Xenopus tropicalis: one gene and its partners. The protein of the gene in region 1 purifies or fractionates together with the protein of each later gene. This does not show direct contact. Links are inferred from orthologs where the notes say so. Each region holds a gene or a part of one and is shown in the gene's direction. Other genes may lie near its edges.

Region 1 (7,654 bases):
ACTTGGGGGTGCTTAAATGTTAAGCACCCCCAAGTGACTTGAATCGCTTACCTCGTACCCCGGGCTGGTGCCCCTGTTAGGAGAAAACCGCACCAGCCCGGGGCACCTGGGGCGATGCGCTTCCTCCTTCCACCTTAGTTTCTCTGCGACTCCGAGTCCGGCGCATGTGCAGTAGAGTGAAAAAGCCGACTTCTCTGTTAAAGTTCTGTTTTTCACTCTACTGCGCATGTGCGCACAGCGAAGAAGGAAGGAGGAAGCGATCGCTGCTACCCCGGGCTGGTGCTGTTCTCTCTATACAGGGGCACCAGTCTGGGGTAGAAGATAAGCGATTCAAGTCACTTGGGGGTGCCTAACATTTGGCAAGTGACTTAGCTTTTCCTTCTCCTTTAAACTCAGAATGTGAGGTCGATATTGGGCTAATTTAAAAATTTGGCCCTGGGGCCAAATGATCAAATTAGAATGGCAGGTATAGGCGCTGTTGGTTCTGGGACTGCATCATCGAGCCAATGCGGTCCCCAATCCAATGGAAAAAACAAACCTGCACAATCGAGATCTGTCTGATTTCAGGCTAGATGGCAGTCCGGCAGACCCGTTGTTTGTGCCACCTTTACACTCCAGTGGGTATAATAAGTTTTAGTACAGTACCTTTCAGTCAAAACCTCAATCAAAAAGTCTCTTATTGCCTTAATCCTGCTGGGGCATACATAAAATGGGCAGTCATAAACTGCTGTACTATAATAATTTACTCCTACTCATGCACAATACCAGAGTGTCTCACCCAGTTCTTTATATTCAATCAGTGTACCTTACTGTGCACAAACCACTTAATGTTCAATCCACATCTAGGATTGCTGCTATGTACCCCTGATACCATGGGCACTTCTTCAAGACACCAGCAGATGGTACATTGTCTGTATAACTTGCGTCCCTGATCATCCTCCTTTATGTCTCTGATTTTTGTTTTTTATTTAGAACTAGAAAAAAAGTTTGTGCCCTCTCTAACAGAAAATGTGTCTGCCCATTCCTTGCTATGTTTAAATAAAAGACTGATTAATTGCCATGGCTATTATATTACTTTTTATGTTATTTGTTCCCATTTGGTCACTAATGTAAGGGCTGGAATTAGGGGCATACAGAAGAGGCTTCTGAAACCCAGGCAAAAATTGTCCCAATCTTGGCCCCTGATGTCATAGCCCCACTCTACAGCCATTTCTACACACCAGGGGCGCTACTGCCATGAGGTGAGTTGAGAAATTTACTTCAGGAGGCATCACCCCTCAAGTTGCCAGGGGTGGCAAAGAGCTGCCCTCTCAAAGAAAAAAACTAAGCATAGGGTTGGAGAGTGGCATTGGCTAGGCTGCCTCAGGGCAGCAGTAAGTGCCCCTGCTCCAACCTGAACATCACTGCTCCTACCCAAATTATTAACACAACTTACTGATGTAATCATTCTACCACTTTGCCACCTTGTCTAAGTTTGGCCACAGGAAAAGGAGAAATGTATAGTTGCAGTGGCCTACCAATAAGATTTCTGCCCTGGCCCCACTACTGCCTTCAAGCAGACCTGGTGACAAGTTGTTAGGGGTGGGTGATCAAATATTTTTTCACTTTGTCAACTCTGTCATTGGCCTTTAATACAAATTATGTTACTTTTGGCTAGTGTAAGGGAGTGTCGCCAGCCCCAAGCTCCTCCTGTCCTGAGCTGATTGGTTTCTCTGCATTTGCTAAACCTTAACTGAAGCAGGTGTCAGCTCTTGTTGGCAGTGGTGTTTTGTCTTGCTTACAGGCTGGCACAGGAAGGAGTAATTGTCGGGCAGGGTGGGCACAGGAAAACTAGTATTGGCTTTGGTGCTAATACTTCTTGGCCCAGCTCTGGTAAATGCTCAGCACTGGTCTACCAGATTTAATATAGAAAAAACAGAGCAAATTGTACTTCAGCCATGCCACAATCCAGATAAGAACTTAAAGTGACGTATGTAGTCTTTACGTGTTTGCACCGTTAGCAGACACACACTGTTATACCAAGACAAGCGGCTGTTACCAACTAAGTAGTCTAGGCCATCTACATGTAGTGTTGCCACCTGGCCAGAATTTTACCAGCCTGGATGGTAAAAATGATACTTGATACCAATATTATTAATAGGGAAGAAAGATAAAAATATAGGCAGGCCGTTTTTTCCCCACAAAAAGTGGCAACCCTACCTACATGTGACAAAAATTACAGAACCCAGCTGTTACATGAATGTGTAATTTAAATAGCCCTTCATCTTTGTCAATGAACCAGTGTTAATTCGACAGTTGTTGCTATACAATGAATCAATGTAACTCGCTTTAACACCAACGGAAATATCAACCTGATGAAATTTATAGTAATCTAGTATAATTACTTTCAATATCAGAAGCTGGATTACTATAAATTGCATCAGGTTGATATTTCCGTATTCGCCCACTAGGTGTCAGCACTAAAGTTCCTGACGCCATGATTCCGGCAGTACGTCTTCTATTGTACCTATCGGCCGGTTTGTTTGCCTGTCTTATTAGGGCTACAAAGTCTAAAAAGAAATCTTCGCGTGTATTGTGGAAGGACCCTAATAATATTGCAACCAGAACTATATGCAATTGTAATTACTGAGTTAACAGAAGGTACGTAAGAGAAATAAAAATAAAGAGCGTTCGGCTACTGCACACTAAGAACAGCCTACTATGGGCAAATTTGCTGTCCTTCCAGCAGCTGCAAAGAAGGGCGGAAGTAGGAAGTAAGAAGGTGAGCAAAAATACACGTGGGTAATACATTTGACGTCATTGCACGGATCGGAGGAGTACGAGAGGAAGAAAAGTGTGTAAGAGAATGGAAAGGGGATAATACTGATGAGAGTGAATGATGGAGTGGGGCATGGTGAATGCGGAAGGCACAGAGCAGAAAAAGGGCAAATGTAAAAAAAGGTTAACACTTAGGGAGGTCTAGAATTGAGTTAATGAGAGGTGGTGTGGGAGCATAGCAAGTTAGTGAACAATAATGAAAAATGAACAAATGAAAGTAATGTAGTATAGCAGGGTCAAGTAGGGTCAGACCAGATGTGCTGTCATTGGCTGCTGGTAAAAGACAATGGAACTTATTTACCAATACTGACCCACTTACTGAACTGGGGTCTTTGATTTTAAGAGAAAGGCACTATCTGTATAGAGTCTACAGGCCAAAAACATGCTGGTGGTCTTAACTGTCTCCTAATGAAATGAGATCGGCATGATTATAGTATGTGTATGTGCATGCTAGGGATCTTAGATTGTATGCTCCATTGAGGTAGGAACCAATGTGAATGATCAGTAGTTTCTGTAAAGTGCTGCATAACACACTGGTGTTGTATAAATAGGGTATAATAAAAAAACAAACAAAAAAAAAACATAGCAGCAGTTTAATTAGCCATAGCAACACAAAATAGTGTTGCTATAGTGCAGATGACAGCAAGTTTGTAAATGCAACTTGTTTAGATTTAATTTTCCTGAGTAAGCTAATGCCATTATAAGACTAAAGGAGTCATTTATTTTTGCCCAGGAGGCGCAACAGCTTTGTGCCATTTTTTTCATCTTGCTCCTCATTTTGATAATAAACCACTGAGAATAAGTTTAATATAAATAAAGAAGCAAATATTTGGACAATAATAATTTTCTATGCATTGAAAATGCCTGTATTTGAGTTATTAGAGCCTACCTCACAATAACACACGGTTGTGTTTGCCCTACAGGTCTCTTTCTCTCACCATGTCTACCCTCTATCTTCCGAACTCCACCTCATCAGACCCGCGATCTCTGTGGGTGCGCATTGCTGGACAGTATTCTACCCTATGTAAGCCAAAAGTACAGGAGGTGTCTTCTGGCCCTCACGGACTACCACTTCCTTGTTTGCTCTCACCCTCCAATGAACCAGTATGGGGTTCTTGGGCTGTTTCATATATGCTTGCTCCTGAAGCACTTTCTGGAGGATGTGACCCCTGCTCCGGTGCTCTTGTTAAACAGTGGGTGAGCTATGCAGAGTCAGAGTTGTTGCCTGCTGTGTATGGAGCAGAACGTTCACAGGTACAGATTTAAAGTGCCTGCATAATTCTGTTATTTTTAACCCTAAATGAATTTCCTATGGTACATATGGTGAAAGTTTTCCTTTTCCTTAGACTAAAGATCGTTCTCTTCTGGAGCTGCAGAAGATTCTGGATAGTCTTGATTTTTATCTTAGACTTCGCACATATCTTGTGGGAGAGAGCATCAGTCTTGCAGACATTGCTGTAGCGTGTTGTTTGATCAGTCCCTATACAAAAGTAAGTATTTTATCTGCTGACCAGCTAAGGTATTGGTGTTTCTTCTGTTGAATTATAGCACCAGTCATTTAAATCTGTGAGAGGATGCTGGAAATTGTATCCTAACACCAAAAATCATCTCACATATACAACATAAATAGTAAAGACACCTAAATGTTATGATTCTCCTTTTTTACATTATATTTCTTATTGGTCATGTCACCACTTCCCTTTCCAATTGTTTTGTTTATTTTGTAGGTTCTTTCTCCCACAAGAAGAGAGAAACTTCTTAATGTTACTCGGTGGTTCCAAACTTGCATTAATCAACAGCAGTTTAAAGATATTCTAGGGGAGGTTAACTTTCTAAAAACAGGTAACATATATGGCTCAGTGACAAGGCTTTTCATATTTTATTGTAAGTTTTTATTTTTCCTTTAGCATAATTACAATAAAGTACTTCACCTTTCAATATTGAGGCTGGTTCAAAGGCATTACACCTAAAACTGCAAATGCTGGAAAGTTTAGCTGGAAAATTTTGCAAGGGATTCTAGATTTTATTCAAACTTAGGGATCAAAAATGTATTTAAAAGAAATGTATGATGAAGCACTAGAAAAGAATAAAAGTTCACATTTAGCATGATAAAGACACATTGCTGTGCAGACCTTTCCTGTACAAGGTGTGTTGCACAGTGCTAGTGCTTCTGCTATTGCAACTCCTTTTGTTCCTTCTGGAATAAATTAATGCTATAAGGGGTGCCCCAAGATAGGGTTATTAAGCATTGCAGTAAGTGCATTCATACCACAAACAATACCGAAAGAAAGTAACAGAGTTAACTAAGTGAGAAAGTGGAATATGTAAAGCTGGCAGCATGTTAGGGAAAGTGGAATCTGACAGCTTTGAGGATTGAAGTTATTGATGACCCCCCTTCTACATGTGACTTGCTTTCATCCTAGATGTTGCTGCTTCAAAAACTTCAGATGGTCCTTCTGGTACCCCTTCCAATGCCCCCCCTAAAACTGCAGCCCAATTAAAGAAGGAGTCTAAGAAGAAAGAAAAACTGGAGCGGTTCCAACAAAAGCAAGAGAAAATAAAAGAACTGCAGGGGGAGGTGGGCATGGCCTGTTTAAAGGCAACATGATAAGCCCCTACCACGCTACACACACAGTCCAAACAAATATTTACACCTTCTCTTTCTGAACTTTCAAATACAGAAAAAGCCCAAACCTGAAAAGAAAGACAAGAAAGAACTTGGGGTGATTACATATGATATTCCTACTCCTGCAGGTGATAAAAAAGGTAACAGTTTGTGCAACGTAAATTATGAATTTGTGGAAATTAAAAGATGTAAGGCTTATTTCTAAAGTAAGTCAATAATGCAACATTTGGAAGCAAATTATCATGGTTTTTATCCTCAACCCAGGATTCTGGTGTTATTAAGGGCAACCACTATGTAGCATTCTCTGCAATTCGTATAAAATAAAACAAAACGGATGCAAATTACTTCACACTTTTTGTAAAGTTGTGGTATGTGGTTCCAGGTTACTTCTGGCATGCCATCATTAATATCATTGTCATCTGATTTGGTTGGCTCAAGTCACTTGTTTCCATAGATGCAACTTTCAAGGGAAACAGTGGAAAAACTGAGAGGTCCAGGGTGGCAGTAGCTCTAGGGTTCCCTGTCATTCATATGTACAATTGTGTGCAAGTCTAAAGAGGTGCATTGGTGTTTTGCATGTTGCTAGGAGCAAAGTACCTTTGTGAAAAACAATGCATGCTTAATTTTGTGTCCATTCTGGCACTTTGTAGTTGCAAAGCCCATATAATCTGTTTCCAAATATCCAGTCTATATTACCGCTCCATTAATCCTGTATGTTTCTCTAATTCTTGTATTCATTTTTATCTGGTAGATGTTTCTGGTCCTATGCCTGACTCCTACAGTCCCCAGTATGTAGAATCTGCTTGGTACTCATGGTGGGAAAAAGAGAAGTTTTTCAAGCCCGAATTTGGGGTGAGTCGGAGATGTTAATAAAGCCTGCATGTGGCATTTTTTAGTTAATAAGCGAGGCAAATGTGTGTGTCTATTAAATCAATCACATTGAAGTTCTTTTCAGTATTCTAAACACAAAAACAACCTTTCTCATCTGTTATTTGTATTGATCAAGTTACATGCTGTATATCTTGTTTTATGGATTAAACACTTGACAGTTAGGACATAATATACAAGAGCTGATCAATGCTTTCATGCAAACTACTTTTATGGCTGCATCAAGCAGCTTCTGTTGGTTACTTGAATTTAGGAAGCCTGTATCAGCTACTTGTCCAAAGCATATAGCCACTCCTTTTAATTGTTCCTTTGGGCATCAAATTTGGATCATATGTTTTTCGAGTCTGGGACAAAATATGTTTTTACAAATGTGCTTAAAATGATTTATTGCTGTATGAAAATAAATAGGTCTCATCTCATTCTGCAATTTTTTATGTCCCAGAGAAGCAGCATTTCAGAGCCCAACCCAAAGGGTTTGTTCATGATGTGTATTCCTCCACCAAATGTGACTGGATCACTTCATCTTGGACATGCTCTTACTAATGCAATCCAGGACTGTTTGACCCGCTGGTAAGTGACCTTAAACTGATACTGGATTTATACATGAGGAGGCAGAATATTCACAAATGTAATTGACTCATGAAAAAATGCATATAGATAAAGTAAAGATAGAAAATAATAGCAAGAGAGACACATGTGAGTGTTTGGTGTGATGGTTTAAAATTATTTTTGTTGTTGTCTAGTATATAATACAGTTGTGGCCAAAAGTTTTGAGAATTACATAAATATTGGAAATTGGAAAAGTTACTGCTTAAGTTTTTATAATAGCAATTTGCATATAGTCCAGAATGTTATGAAGAGTGATCAGATGAATTGCATAGTCCTTCTTTGCCATGAAAATTAACTTAATCCCAAAAAAACCTTTAAACTGCATTTCATTGCTGTCATTAAAGGACCTGCTGAGATCATTTCAGTAATCATCTTGTTAACTCAGGTGAGAAAGTTGACGAGCACAAGGCTGGAGATCATTATGTCAGGCTGATTGGGTTAGAATGGCAGACTTGACATGTTAAAAGGAGGGTGATGCTTGATATCATTGTTCTTCCATTGTTAACCATGGTGACCTGCAAAGAAACGCGTGCAACCATCATCATAAAAATGGCTTCACAGGCAAGGATATTGTGGCTACTAAGATTGCACCTAAATCAATTTATAGGATCATCAAGAACTTCAAGGAAAGAGGTTCAATTCTTGTTAAGAAGCCTTCAGGGTGTCCAAGAAAGTCCAGCAAGTGCCAGGATCGTCTCCTAAAGAGGATTCAGC
Region 2 (7,812 bases), on another chromosome or scaffold:
GGCTACTGCCCAGGTGCAAATTTGCGCAGTGTTTATAAATGAGCCCAACTCAGTGACTGTAAAAGAATGCACTTTGAGCTGACAAGCATCCTCAGCTTGCTAACAGAATCCGTGGGATGTTAAGAAGCCTGTACATTTGTCTCTATGTAAATAAAGCTTTATATGAAGCACGTTGGTTCCTTGAGATTTTTACATAAAGTAAATCATAAGCATAAGTTTCTAAACTGTTGTAATTCATGCAGTGAGCATGAAGGTTGTTTAATGAGCACAGAGGGAAAGACACCCCGTGGTTCCCTTTCTGCACACATCAACCTGCCTTTCTGGTCAGTTATTTTATTATGATATCTAATTGCTACTTATGGCTTGAGATCGAAGCATCATGTCAGATTATTATTTGTCTAAAGATATTGAGGAATTACAACTCCCATGAATGCCATGGTGGTGGGTTACATTTTTGAAGGGTGCTGGGGGTTGTGCTCAAAACATATATATATATATATATATATATATATATATATATATATATACATACATACATGATCTAGAGACGCTGACATTCTGAGACAGTTAGTAACTGGTCTTCATTGTTTTTTATTATTTATTTTTTAGTGGCTTTTCATTTATTTAGATTTTTGTTCATGAGCTCTCCAGATTGAAATTTCATCAGCTATCTAGTTTCTAGGGTCTTGTTTACCTTAGCAGTGCTTTAAATGAGAGACTGGAATATGACTAGAACAGGGACTAAACAGATAGCTAAGTAATAAAAGGTAACAATAATAATAAAATTGCAAGATCACAGAGCAATAGTTTGACTACTAGGGGTCAGAGATCCCTATTTGACAGCTGGAAAGATGTAAAAGTGGGAGGCAAATAATTAAAAAAAAAAAATAATGAAAACCAATTGCAACATTGCTAGGAATAGGACATTCTATAACACAGTAACATTTAACCTGAACCATGGACAGTGGCCAGAGAAAAAGAAGAGAAGCACCATCTATAGAACTGGATCAACAATAAGACAACAATGTTGAACCTGATGGACCCTGTGCCTTGATTTTAAACCTTATCTTCTTTAAAACATATACTTTATTATTTTTTAATTCTATGTTTTTGAATGATGAATATTTTTTGGTGAGAAATGAAATTGCATAAATGTGTTAAGGGGGCTCCATAAGACCATGTGCCAAACCTGAAAAAGCTATAATGCTTGCCACCCATAATGTCTCTTTCCCAGACGATAATTACTGCAATTATAATACCTACCATGATACATACACATAACCGCCACACCCAGTTAATTGCTCCCATTTCACCTTGACTAAGAGCAGCATTTGATCCAGTATCATGCTTTTAATATCTGGGAAGAAAGGTTAAGTTTTCATTGCACACTGGGTGCCATATATTTTCTGTATGGTGCCATAGCTGAGCCAATTTGCCATCAAAGGGAAGGGTGGCAGTCTTTGAGAGCTTCATCGCCATTATCTGCCCCATTACCTGCTGGCTGCAGGGTTTTTATTTCAAATGGCATTTGTTCTTTGCTTCAGAGGGATGGCTTTATTCTTGTGTTTCACTGTACACGGAAGGAAGGAAGTAACAGACCCAGCTAGACTGCACTGGCACTCCGATTGCAGATGAAATGCTGCATGTTGCCTCTCTTCTGCATTCTGGGCTGAGCCCTTAAAAGTGATTACTCATCACTACAGAGCACAACTGATCCCTACAGTGACTCTGCAGCTTGCTGATTTCCAACTAATTTACTGCATAATGCTTCCTTACTGGAAGTCTGCATACCCCCCCATGAGAACAACCTATTGGCCTAGGGACCATTAAGACAAGCTTGATTTGGTCACTTTATCATATATGCTGATTTGCCTCTGTATGCTCAGCATTAGATGTTATAAGATGTAAGCGGTCACTAAGGCATTCAATGACCATATCAATTAGGGGTACATTATGCGGTATAAGCAGGGCTGCCATCAGGGATAACAAACAGTACTAGTGTCTCAGGCTCCATCAAATCAGAGGGCCCCCGACTGCACCATTTACTGCTAATGGCATTGCTATTTTAAAATAAATATTTTAGAGGTTAGTATTGTGTACAGTAATGTGGTATTTTGTATTTTATACAGTGTAAATGGCACTAAATCATTTATGATTCCTTGACCCTGGTGTGCTTGCAGTCTAATTTCTTCCTCTCCTATTAAGAAAATAGGGTTAATTCTATAAGGAGGGAGAGGGGGTACTGTTGTACCGGGCCCAGTAAAATCTCCAGAAGGGGGGGCTGGCCTCATCACAAAAGTTGCTTTAGAACTTACATAATTTACATGTCTTCCACAAAAACTGGCTAGAAACAGGGTAATGCCACACGGGGCTGATTTTTAAGTGGATGGTCTGATTCTCAGAAACTGTTTTTCTGCTTTCCAAGAATCGGCCCCTCTGCTCCAAGCAGTTTCAGGCAGAAATATCATGCGTGTGCCTGCACCCAGGCGGATTCAGTGCTTCCGGGTGCAGGCACAACTGAAAGATTTTTAGATTCAAGAATCAGCTGTATGGAAATACCCTAACCTAACTTGCATATCCCAATATGACCCCCCCAATAGATCAAAAAAGTCAAGGTAAATGTTACTGTCCCCAGTGAATTGACTCATTATTACATTACTACTCATATTACATTAGCACATTAATTACTCATTTTAACTATTTATTAAAGAGTAATGTCGGCTGTTTATATTGAAAACTATTAACAGATGGATTTGTGCACTCCTGCATGAACTTTACAGCAGAGGAATGACTGGTTATTGGGCCCCACAGCAACATCATTGGGCCACTACACTTATGCAATTTATGTAACTTTTGCAAAAACTTAAGTTACTTTAAAAGAAAGTACAATTCTTACAATTAGCCTACAGCTAAGATTAATATAAAACTACAATACCCAGCATGCAATTATAGACAGAAGCTCCCTTTTCTATTCCTCTTTGCTGAACCTGAACCAGCAAAACTACTATAACCTGCATGGACTGGGCACAGGGGGCTGGGAAACATCAGCCATCCCAGTAACTGGAGAGAGGGCACAGGGCATGGGTAGTAATTATACACTACAAAAAAAGCATTTTCCCATATATACTTTTATTTTTTAGAATTTGTTTTCATTTTGTATATTGGGCTATTTTTGGGCTACTTTCGAAGTGGCTTTTGGCTAGTTTTGGGCTGGTTTGGAAAAATAAATCTGGCAACACTGGTTTTGTTCTATGTTTTGCTCAGAACCCAATTAAGTGTCTAATAAACCTTACTTTTCTACCCCAAATGACCTTTGACAGGTCATTTTAACAGACTTTTCAATAACACCTATAATACATATTTCAGGCAGCCACATATGTTAGTTCTATCTATGGTCCTGACTAAATGTATTATCCCTTAGCAGCTGGCTCCTACATTGCAAGGAAATCCCTCTATGCTGTTCTGGAAGGTTCTGCCAGGGAAGTGAATCCCTCTCACTCTCAGCTTATTAAACTCACTATCACAGCTTAACTCCATAGAATCCTTTTTTTGGGGTAGGGTTTTCTGACAGAAACCCTTTGTATCTCCCATACTGCCACATATCACCTGCCTGTACGTCCCGAAAGCGTCACGTTACGCTCCCGTCGCTTACACTCCTCTATTTTACGACAGCCCGTAGTCTGTTTTCGGCACCTATATTACGTCGGAGAGCTGGAACTGCGGCTCCTCCCTTTCTACTCGCGTGAAGATGGCCGGCGGGGTAAGTAATGAATAGGTCCCAGAAAATCCATCCACATCCGACAGCTTATGATATATCCGGGCCGTAGTGTGGGTCACTGGGATATGGGGTGCGCTCTGCTATCCGGGTCACCTTTCATCTCCCGGTTTGGTGCTGGTAGTATGGGGTAAAGTTAGTGGGAATAGTGCCCGGCTTTACCCGGAACTAAGGGGAGCGGTACAAAGAGAGGGCAATACGGCGCTGCCCCGGTAACTGCCCCTAGTCACGTGTCCCTGCCTGCTCCTTCCACACGCGTTTCTCTCCCGCTCTGTGCGCCATTTGTACGGCTGTAATACCGGCTGCTGTGTGACAGCGGCTCTATACAGTGACATGTGACAGATGCACAGTATTCTCTATAGAGAACTTCCAACGCATGGGAAGGCTTTTGAGCTGCCATGCAGTGTTGTAGCTAATACATGTTAGTAGTGTGGCGTAAAGTGGTGAGGTGGCAACCCTGGTTTTATTTGCTGCTGCCATAAGAGTATAAAGACAAGAAGTAGCTGCTTGAGTTAAAGATTTTAGGCTTACATTCTGTTGTCTGCCAAGGCTTAGCTTTACCCAGTAGGAGACTTCACATAAGAATAGTGATATGGCATGTAGTAAGATATGTGCTGCTTTCCAGGGCCTTGGGTGTACATTAGAATGTGTTAGATATATAAAGGAAAATGTTTCCTTCAGCAACCCTAAATATGGTACATGGAATTGTATATGGTGCCTGGTGGTGCAAAGTCCCATATGATTGGGGATAATCATTTTGTACAATATTTGCTTGCCTCAGTGTGTATAATGTATAACTGTGTGTATTCTCTCTGCAGACTCTGTACACATACCCTGATAACTGGAGGGCATACAAGCCCCTCATTGCTGCTCAGTATTCGGGGTTCCCCATCAAGGTTGCCTCCTCTCCTCCAGAATTCCAGTTTGGAGTAACGAATAAGACATCCGAGTTCCTAAAGAAATTCCCCTTAGGCAAGGTAATGCATTTGCTTCCATAGTCCCTCAACTTCAACCCCTCCAGATAATCTGCAATGTGTGTACAGTATGTATATATTCATACTGTAGCCCTGGATGTAATGAACTTTTTAAGGTAATATTATTGTCCTTAATCAAACTCTTTCTGGACTTTTAGGTACCAGCATTTGAGGGCAACGACGGTTTTTGCCTTTTTGAGAGCAGCGCCATTGCTCATTATGGTGAGACAATCATTTTATCTCTTGTTATCATTTTATCTTCAGCAGGTTAGCCTTTATAGAATCAGACCTAGCAATTACTCTCTGGCCCTTAGGGAAAGAACCCACCTGTGATAGTAACTGCTCCGAAAAGGCTTTCCATCGGCAACAGTAGAAGTCATGGGTGAAAAGGCCTTCGGTTTCCAAAGTTGCGTGAAGTTGCCTGCAGGAGAAAAGCCTTTTCAGAGCGTTTACTCGCCCATGATAGCAGCGGTCTGTTGTGGGTGAGTAACTCGCTATGTGGGTTCTTACCCTAAGAAGCTAATTTGGAGGTTGTTGCTGTAACTAGTATACAGCAGACCCCACAGCCACAGGGGAGGTATAATGGTCTCAAGGTCTGCTGCTGGGCCAGACTGGGATTCAAAATAGGCCTCAACATTTCAAGTACACAGAGGCCAAACCCCCAGCCCAGTGGCATCTTACAGCAGCCCCTTTCGCATTTTACAGAATATACAGATTGCCAGTCCAGGCTTGGTCTGCTGTATGGTTCTCCCTCCTTATTTCCAATGTTTGCTCTTCTGCTCTCTGCAAATAAATGAATGGGGAAAGGGGTACAGAGGAGGAGGGAGTGCATGCATTTAAAATTGCAACTGGGCCCAGGTGCTGCTTAGTTATGTCACTGTTTGGATGGTCCTAAAATAACCCAAAAATTGTGCACCTACCATTTCTGCTCTCGTTCTGGCCATTTTCTCTTCTTAAAAATCTATTTATTTAGATCAATCCATGGAATCCCCAGCCCAGGCCCAGGTTCAGTCACATATCCTGCCTGCTGGCCTCCTGGTGGGAAACTGCCCAGAAATAGTGATTTTACATAAAAACATTTCAGTAAAGATGTTTCCACATATTTCGGACAAATACAGATTTTCTGTACTCGCCAATATCGATCAACCCTGCTGGCATGTCCCATTATAGGTTGAGAACCTTGGGAAGTGTTCTATCTTTGGAGATGGCCACTTATAGTTCTGCTGCTTGCACTCCCTACACTAAGGTGGAATTATAAACATAAGCAGTATTCCTGTGAAAGGTTATTAAAAAAAAAAAAAACTTATGGATAGCTGGCCATTCAAACAGCAGCTGCAAAGCTGAAATCATAAAATAGCAACCTGGCAAATTATACCTTAATCTCTTCATATTTTTATAGGCATTCCTTGTGGCGGAATGCATAGAATTGCACTACAAGACAAATGCTGACTTGGAGTCTCAGATTTAAATTGGAGAGCATGTGAGCTCTGAGATGAGCTGTGAATCTTTATCATTCTACATCAAGGTTATCCATTTCTTTTTGTCCCTCTTTCTGTGTGTCTCGGGCTCCTGCAGACTGGGTATAATGAAAGTCCACTCTTAGGGTGAAGACACACTGGGCTACTAGTAGCAGCTACTTTTTTTTTATGACTACTAAACTCCAGAAAATACCCTGCCATAGACAATACTGAGAATTGCCTCTGCTAAAACACATGTAGAGGCAATTATCTGTAAATGATCAGCATTCTCTTTTTTAGTAGTCACGGCAAGTAGCTGCTACTAGTAGCTCTGTGTGTTCTCACCCTAAAGCTGGCCATACATGCACCGATAATATCGTATGAAACCTCGTTGAAATCCTATTGTTTCTTCCTCCACATCTGCCATTTCACCCCTGAATGTTAGTGGCGGATTGGAACGATCGCACAAAAGATCAAAAATCGCCACGTGTGTGGCCACCTTTAGACTTGTCACATATGTCTCATACTTTCTCTGACTTGGTGTTAATAGGAAACCTAATTCTCACCTCTCACATATTTCTCTGACAGTGGGCAATGATGAGCTCCGAGGAACCAATCGTTTACACCAAGCTCAGGTCATCCAGTGGGTCAGCTTCTCAGACAGTCACATTGTCCCTCCGGCCAGCGCATGGGTCTTTCCCACTCTGGGGATCATGCAATACAATAAGCAGGTAAGAAGGGTTCATTATTCTGCTTTATTTTCTTTGGTTAACTACACACTGCTGCGTGCTTATCTGCTAAATTATTTATTCATCTAACAATGGCCTTTCCTTTTCTACTTTGTGCTGCGTCGAGATGAATTATGAAATACTTTGCTTTACAAATACTTCAAGCACCCATAATGTTTGGGGTCAGTAGGACCCTTTAGGGTGACCAGATTGCTTGAAAATTCAGGGACGTGTAATGAAGAGAAAAAATAAATCCAGCTAGCAGGGCTGAACTGATTTGAAATACAATTCCTGCGACATGTACTAGATGTGTCCTTGAATTTTCAAGTGATTGGGTCACCCTACTTTTTGCCGCAGCCATAGCTTTAGATGAAGTAAACACGAGGCAGTTGTCAGAGATGGATGAACTGCCTGATCCAAGATCGATATGGGTTTAACAAGATTTAACTGTTTTAAATTGAAAGATTACCTTAAAAAGTGTGTGTATATCTCTGCCCCACCCTTATTTAGTGAATGTTATGGTTATATGTATCTTTCGGTTTATTGAATGGTGTGAAGTGATCTGTGCAGTTAGCTGGAAAATAGCAGCTTGCTTAAGGGCTGTGACACACGGGTAGATAAGTCACGGGTGACAAAACTCCCCAAAATGCCATCCCACCGGCTAGAATGTAAATCGTCGGTGGGATGGCATATGCGGCGGTGTGATTTGCGGAAGTTGCCAGAGTTTCCTCTCAAGGCGACTTCTGCGAATCACGCTTGATGCTTATGCCATCCCACCGGCGATTTACATTCTAGCCGGTGGGATGGCATTTTGGGGAGGTTTTCTGTGCAGCGACTAATCTCTCTGTGTCACAACCCTAACTAATTCCCCCTGGTTG
Region 3 (7,672 bases), on another chromosome or scaffold:
ACACAAAAATAGAAAACTTACCATTATTCTTAGAGTTTTGGGTGGCACTTGCCAGTACCCTGCGAACTACAGGCCTCAGCATTTTGCTACAAATCAAAAGAAAAGGTTAGCCTGGCACATTTTGAGGCTGTCTGAAGATTAGAAAATGCAATAATTCAACACATAATATTTGCGAAAAAGTATGCATTTTTAACTTATTAAATAGGAGAAGCCACCAAATGCATTATTTTTTCTTTCATAGAATAAAAGGTTAAATAACCAATTCAATCCTTAATAAATGCTTGTGGTAGTTCCTGAACCAGATTGCTTAACCTTTTTATTGTGAGAACATCTTATAAAAATAGCATTTGTATAACAAACAGATTGTCCTTGAATGTAAGTAAGGGCCAAAAGCTGTGCACGGAATAGTTTAGACCCCTGACAAATGTTACCACCCCAGCCTGTAAAAACGATGCCTGATACCATGGTTATTAATGGGGGGGGGGGGGGGGGGGGGGGGTAGAATATAGAATCCTCTGTGAATGCATTGCTAGTTAAAATGTTCTATTATTCTATTATTCAGACTCTTTGAGTTATGTTATAAAGGGTGCAATTAGTTTATTATAGGTCTAATCACCTATCTTAAAGGAGAAGTATACTCCCGGGCTCAAAAAGCACCCATAACTATCACTATCTAGACCCCCCTCACCTCTCCCTTATTGTATTGTTTTTAAGTTTAATGACTGTCCCTATCTCTTATAGCTAGCTAATAATCCAGAGGAGCGCAGCCCCCTACCTGTCCGACATTTTCTTACTGACTAAAGACACTTCTGGTCTCACCGCCGTCACCTAACCTGCTTGTGCACGTGCAGTTGAAGCGGATTTCCTACCTCCAACTGCGCATGCACAAGCAGGTTTATATCGGCAGAGCGACCAGAAGTGTCTTCAGTTGGAAATAAGATGTCGGCGATGTATGTGGCTGCGCTTCTCTGCATTTTTAGTTAGCGGTTAGAGATAGGGACAGACATTAAACAATAAGGAAGAAGTGAGGGGGGTCTAGGCAGTGATAGTTATGGGTGCTTTTTGTGCCTGGGGGTATAGTCCTCCTTTAAGCAATACGGAGGCATGTACAGGTCAAACATCTTATTGACTGCTACAGGTTACTGCTAGTAATGTGTGGGTTGACAGCCTCTCCAAAACTAGATTTTTATGGTGTACTTTTTATTTCTAAATGACACTGCGTAAATTGGTACATTGAAAAGGAATCTACGATTTAAAATGTTATTCTTAAACAATAAATAATATTTGGTGTATTTTTTTAAGTTTCAATATTGACGTGTAGGCAGTCATTTCAGAGCATTGTGCTAGATCCTGTGCTTTTAGAAAGTGCCAGCACTTCAGAATGCAACTGCTTTTAGATTAGCGATTTTTTTCTCCTACTCAGGACTTCAGTTTTAAACTATTAAGTGCTACGCTCATATCTACCAGGTGTCAGGGAGCTGTTATCTTGTTACCTTCCCATTATTTTGCTTTTATGCTGCTGTAAGGGATAGGTATGGGGTGACCACTCCAACTTGCACTGCCACTATAAAGAGTGACTGAAGTCTATCAGAGAACAAGTCACATGGTTGTGGGCACCTGGGAAACTAAGAAGATGTCTAGCCCACATCATATTTAAATTAAATATGAAAAAAAAATATATGTTTGCTCTTTTGAAAACTGGGTTTCAATACAGGATTTTGTTGTATGAGAGCTATATTTACAGATACACCTGTCACCCTGAAATTGTTTCCCCCACCAGTGGTGCAGGCTAATGGAGCCTGCACTCCAGTTGGGGGAAACAATAGTTTAAAAAAAAATAATAATAAATAGCCCCCACCAGCACTAGGCTGCCTGCACCAGTAGGAAGCTTTTGGTGTGGGTGGCTATGTTGGGGCACATGCAAAAGGATGAGCGAGAGCAACATCTCGCTCATTATGCACAGGTATGTGACATAAATTGCAATTCGCAATTAATGTCAGATGATAATGAGCATGTGAGGAGACTGGCTTTTTATGCACGCTATAGAACAGTGATCCCAACCAGTGGTTCATAAGAAACATGTTGCTCCCAGGGTCCTCAAAGTAAGAGCTTATTTTTGCATTTCTGGCTTGGAGGTAGGTTTTGGTTGCATAAAACCCAGTGTAAAGCCAAACAGAGCCTTCTATAGGCTGCCAATCCATATAGGGTGCAACCAAACAGCCAATTATAGCTCTTGTTTGCACCCCCAGGAACTTTTTCCATACTTGTGTTGCTCCCCAACACTTTTTCCATTTGAATGTGACTCATGGGTATAAAAGGTTGGGGATGCCTGCTATAGAACATGACAGCCTTCACCAAAAGCTCTCTCCCAGTGTGTGTGGGCTAGTGCGGCTGACACACACCAAAAAATTGTTTTTCCCAAACAGAATGCTGGCTCTATTAGCTTGCAACTGTCCTTGGGGAAACATTTTTCAGGGTGACAGGGTGCCCTTCAAGGTATGGTGTTCCAAATTCCAGACAGATCCCTTATCGGGAAAACCCCAGGTTCCAAGCATTCTGGATAACAGGTCCCATACCTGTATTATACTTTATCCCACCCCACAAAAAAAAAAAAAAAAAAATCTGCCATAGCCATTGAGCCACAAGCCAGGTCATAAAAACTAATTTTAATCAATATTACAATATTCCCTATTTGCTGAGTAACGACTTAACCAGCGCAACCAATTGCATGTGTAATTTTCGCGCAATGTGCAATAACTAAGAGGTTAGAGGATGTGCAAGGAGAGAAGCGCATTACTGAATCCCAGCAGAGCTCTGAGTAAAGACGCGCACCCATGCACAGACTATGGAACGCTGTAGCCCGCGGGTTTGCTAGTATAGGAAGGGATGGAGTCTGGAAATCTTTAGCGAATAATAGAAGAGTCCAAGTCCTACCGAACTAAACTACATCTGTCAAGGGCACAAGAGTGACCTACTACCTTGCTAGACACACAGCCAACACCATTACACCGTAACGCAGGGTTACCGCATCGGTTATGCAAAACATTACAAAGAATTGCCATTTCCAAACCACTCACCCCACCGACTCCCCTAAACAGCTCTGGGAATATTTGGCCTTCTAGACCAGAACAGCCCTGGCCGGCACCCTTGACCAATATGGCGGATTTAAGCAACCTCCGGAACAAGCCACGGAAGATGGTAAGAATTATACGTAACTGAGAAAGCTTCGGTAACTTCCGCACAGGCAAAGACTAGAGATCGACAAAGTCCGGCAAAAATGACGAACGAGACTCGGAGAAACTTCGTTTCCGAAATGTTGCGAACGCAACATCGTTAGTCTTCGGCACAGGCAGTTTCCGGATCGACTTAACATCGGCTATCTCCGTGATAAGCGGCAACACATGCAATCCCAAATATTTCTGCAGTCGGAAAACGAAGATATGGTCTCCAGTAAGTAATACTTTGCCGAAAGGGTGCGGATAAAAAAAAATATAAACTTGAAATGATGTACATGTTACATAGTGAGTCTTTAAGGAAGGCTTAGCCCGCCCCTCGTAGCCCCGCCCCCTGTCTATAAAAGGCATCTACCCGGCCTGCAAGTTCTTTTCTTTACCCGTGTGTGCTAGGCTTCTTGAGTGAATTGCTGTAATGGGTTTCGGCGATCTCAAATCCCCTGCAGGCCTTAAGGTCCTGAATGAGTTCCTGGCCGACAAGAGCTACATCGAGGGGTCAGTGTGGTAAATGCTATATTATAGTTGTGCTAATGTTCGAAAGGACAAGGAATGTGTAATATGAATGAACGTGTTGGCTTCCAACGCGTGGTCCTAGGCCGCAACCTCCTGCTGCCTGACTCCTGAATTCTTTTAGCTGCAGTGCCGTAAACGTGTCACAAAATCCCAAGTGATGTAATATGTAAAGGCTGCCTGGTTAATTGTGCCTTGTGCTTTAGTTATGTATTCTTTCTAATGTTAATAATTAAGTGTTTCTTGGAATCATTTGTAAATGTAATTTGTATTAAAAGCAGAATAGGTCTGGATTTCTACACTTTCGGCACTGCTGGCTACGACTGCTGAGCCGATGTAGCAGAAGCCAGCTGCTTAAACTGCACTATGTCAGAGAACGGAAAATTATATAAACTGTTCAGTGTAACTAAATGTGCAAATAGCCTTAAAACTTGGATAATGTTTATAGGAAACAAATGTTTGGACACTATTTATACAGTTTTTTCTACTGTACTATATTATGTTTAGTGGTTATGCTGCTAATTGTATATTTACCCCCACCCTTTTCAGATATGTCCCTTCCCAGGCTGATGTTGCAGTATTTGATGCCCTCTCTGGTGCGCCCCCTGCTGACCTTTTCCATGCTCTGCGTTGGTACAACCACATCAAGTCTTATGAAAAGCAGAAAAGTAGGTAAGCAGTATGATAAAGTATAGCTATTGCTTTCACAGCAGTGATTGATAAAGGAGCATGGTTGAAAAAATATGATACTGTGCTGAATACAATATTCTTTGTTTTAGGTTGAGCTGTTCTACAGCACTTTGAAGCACGTTCACTACTATACTTATCTAATCTGAATCAGATTTTTTTTTTTTTTAATTCGGTTTATTGGTTAACATCCAGCTGAAAAATCACTGCCTATGGCTGTAGTGCTCATGCAGCCAGAAAGTGGCTGCAACATACATAAGCTTTGATAGTACTGTTGGCCTGCTGTAGAATGTAAATGGGCACAATTCTAATTAACATGGATCATGAATGTGTATCATTTTTGTGGTCTATGAAGTATTTTAAAGGAGTTGTTCACCCTTATGTTAAATTTTAGTATACTGTACAATTTTGAGACAACTTTTTTTTTTTTTTTATTTTGGTGTTTGAATGATTGTTTTTTTGTTAAACCGCTGTCCAGTTTCACATATCTGGTTGCTAGGGTCCAATTTAACCTAGGCAACTAGCCAGTAGTTTGAAAGATGGAAAATTCAATATAGGAGGCCCTAAATAGAAAGATAAGTACAAAAAAAAACAGCTTCACAGAGCAACAGATTTTTGGATTCTGAGGTCAGTGACCACCCCCCCTCATTTGAAATCTGGAAAGAGTCTGAAGAAAAAAGGCAAAAAAACTATACACCATAAAAATGAAAACCAACTGAAAAGTTGCTAAGAATAGGCTGTTCTATAACATACTAAATGTTAACCTGAAGTGTTCTCTTTGACAGTAGGACAGAATTGCATTCTCTTGGCTTAATTGATGCTAGCTGAGCACACAGAATGCCCAGTCAGACATGCAGAGGAGCCTCGTCAAATAGTAGCGTGGCTACCCATATTTGGGCCAGCTTGCAGTCATTTGCAGTTAAGATGTCAGTATTGTAATTTGTTCTCTATTGTAATTTGTTCTCTAAAGTTGTATGTAATTCTAGATAACTGTATATTCCTTGTGACTCACCTCTAAGCAGCTGCTAATGCAAATAGCCTAGAAGTATATTTCTCCTTTGTAAAGTAGTTTTTTTTTTTTTTTTTTTTTTTTTTTTTTCCTAGCCTGCCTGGTGTGAAGAAGCCTCTGGGAAACTATGGCCCTGTTAACATAGAAGATACTACAGGCAGTACAGCAAAAGATACCAAGGAAGAGGATGATGATGATGACATTGACTTGTTTGGTTCAGATGATGAAGAGGTGGGATGTGTAACAATCTTTAGATGTAATAAAATTAGACCTAAGAAGCATAAGGTGCAGAATAAATTACACTGGCTGTACAGCTGTGTCCATAATTTTTTTTTTTTTTTTTTTAACATGCTGTTCTACAGACTGAAATGTAAAGAGAGTTTGCTGTGTTTCATGTAGTCTCCTTGTGGACAATGAACGTAGCAAAAATGCGTGCATGCTTTAATTGTGCTCCACTGTAACCACAAATTCATTATATTACATGCCCAAGGCACACTACTATGGCCACATACCTGAAGCAGTGTTTGCTGTTGGTTACTAAGGTTCTAAACATGTGAAGGGAGTTGTGTAAAACACAAATTTGGCTGTACTATATTCAGGCTGGTCATGTGATGAATGAGCTAAATCACCATCTTTCGGCTGATTTGTGATGCATATTGTCTTCTAAACTGACTACACCAGCCTGTTAACTTAAAAAAACAAAAAAAAAACTTGCTATTGTGCAGAATCTTAAGTTTTTCTATTTCATAGGAAAATGAAGAATCAAAGAGGGTCCGCGAAGAACGCTTAGCACAGTATGAAGCAAAGAAGTCTAAAAGTAAGTGGCCTTCTCCCGAGTGTTTATTCTCCTTAAGGCATATGTTTTTAATTGTTTTGCCTTAAGAAAAGCAAAGTGCAATCACTACCTGTTTACATACTGGTCTTCAGTTCCTTTTTTTTTTTTTTTTTTTGTGGAATGGAAATACTTGCCACAGATACTGGTCTGGAGCTGTATTACTATGTGGCAGTTCCAGCATTCCTCCTGTGGCACATTAAAATGTTTTGCAGCTTTATTTCCTCTCAGTCTGGGAGGACTTGGCTGTATTTCAAACATGGTTCTGTTTTATTCTGTACCACTGTCTACAAACTATATGGTGTAAACCTTAGTGTAAAAAATGCCATATAGTATTGTTATAGTATGTTCAGCAAGGCAGTGGCTATGGTTTGTGACTTAGAAAGGTGTAACACTTGACTTTCCCACTAGAATTTTACTTGTGCTTTTATTTTGTGGGATTTTGGGGTAGTCTGAATGTGTGGCTTAAGGCTGTTAGAATGTGTATTCAGTTTATATATTACTAGTCCTTTACTTGCGGACATAATCTAATTTACACTTCTTCACAATCTTCAAATTCTCCAAAGGTGATTAAATCTTAACCAATTTGTTTCTTTAGAACCAGCACTTATTGCCAAATCATCCATTCTTCTTGATGTGAAGCCATGGGATGATGAAACGGATATGGCCAAGCTAGAAGAGTGTGTCAGAAGTATACAGATGGAAGGCTTGGTGTGGGGAGCATGTAAGTTTATATTTTGTAGGTAGTCTAAAGAATATCTTCACCTTAACTGTAATGATGATTAAAATATCACCATCTTTCGACTGATGCTAATGATGGATGTATTTTTATTCTGACTGCCTTTTATTTAAACACTGTAAAGGTATGTGTTTACTGAATGTACAAGTCTTTACATTCTGACAATATGTAGCAAGTAGACTTGATTTAAAATGCACATTTAATGGCTTTATCAACCGTCATCTGTTATCTCAATTGTTCTATTCCTTCTGCAGCAAAGCTTGTTCCTGTTGGATATGGCATTAAAAAGCTGCAGATCCAGTGTGTGGTTGAAGATGACAAAGTTGGCACAGATGTTTTAGAGGAGAACATCACTGCATTTGAAGACTTTGTGCAATCCATGGATGTTGCTGCTTTCAACAAGATCTAAACTGATTTCATGAAGCCCCCATACTTTTACAGCACTTCAAATAAAAACATTTGCTTAATGTGAAGTTGGTGTTCACTTTGTATTGTGGCTGCTTTCCTTGCAACAAAGTTGCACGCATTCAATCTATCTTGCCTCTGTAGGATTAAAGTATGCCAAATAGGCATCAATGTGTTTCAATCCACTGTGGATGGTTGTCTGGATGTAGAAGATGATCTCTAATGGGTCATAACTTGGTGTCCATTGTTGCTCTGAA

Evidence for each region. Proteins that work in one complex are often made in the same cells at the same time.
Region 2: the proteins of vars1 (region 1) and eef1g purify together in Homo sapiens (affinity purification with mass spectrometry; 6 studies listed by BioGRID and IntAct, counting the BioPlex papers as one, with this or other methods). This does not show direct contact. The link is inferred for Xenopus tropicalis from reciprocal best matches to the Homo sapiens genes VARS1 and EEF1G.
Region 3: the proteins of vars1 (region 1) and eef1b2 fractionate together in Homo sapiens (co-fractionation; 3 studies listed by BioGRID, with this or other methods). This does not show direct contact. The link is inferred for Xenopus tropicalis from reciprocal best matches to the Homo sapiens genes VARS1 and EEF1B2.

What each region holds. Positions count from the first base shown.
Region 1 is NC_030684.2:75,092,837-75,100,490, reverse strand, and holds the start of vars1 (valine--tRNA ligase), read left to right. Parts: upstream 1-2,521; 5' UTR 2,522-2,640; intron 2,641-2,742; exon of another isoform or gene 2,743-2,837; intron 2,838-3,740; 5' UTR 3,741-3,756; coding exon 3,757-4,071; intron 4,072-4,163; coding exon 4,164-4,307; intron 4,308-4,544; coding exon 4,545-4,659; intron 4,660-5,240; coding exon 5,241-5,395; intron 5,396-5,498; coding exon 5,499-5,583; intron 5,584-6,194; coding exon 6,195-6,295; intron 6,296-6,773; coding exon 6,774-6,901; intron 6,902-7,654. UniProt on the Homo sapiens protein: Catalyzes the attachment of valine to tRNA(Val).
Region 2 is NC_030680.2:36,805,026-36,812,837, reverse strand, and holds the start of eef1g (elongation factor 1-gamma), read left to right. Parts: upstream 1-3,742; 5' UTR 3,743-3,748; coding exon of another isoform or gene 3,749-3,760; intron 3,761-4,593; coding exon of another isoform or gene 4,594-4,752; intron 4,753-4,907; coding exon of another isoform or gene 4,908-4,971; intron 4,972-6,148; 5' UTR 6,149-6,274; intron 6,275-6,794; coding exon of another isoform or gene 6,795-6,919; coding exon 6,920-6,937; intron 6,938-7,812. UniProt on the Homo sapiens protein: Probably plays a role in anchoring the complex to other cellular components.
Region 3 is NC_030685.2:50,701,846-50,709,517, forward strand, and holds eef1b2 (elongation factor 1-beta), read left to right. Parts: upstream 1-3,602; 5' UTR 3,603-3,648; coding exon 3,649-3,728; intron 3,729-4,292; coding exon 4,293-4,415; intron 4,416-5,534; coding exon 5,535-5,670; intron 5,671-6,189; coding exon 6,190-6,256; intron 6,257-6,869; coding exon 6,870-6,995; intron 6,996-7,264; coding exon 7,265-7,419; 3' UTR 7,420-7,483; downstream 7,484-7,672. Other genes in the region: ndufs1 (NADH-ubiquinone oxidoreductase 75 kDa subunit, mitochondrial), read right to left, coding at 22-82. UniProt on the Homo sapiens protein: Catalytic subunit of the guanine nucleotide exchange factor (GEF) (eEF1B subcomplex) of the eukaryotic elongation factor 1 complex (eEF1).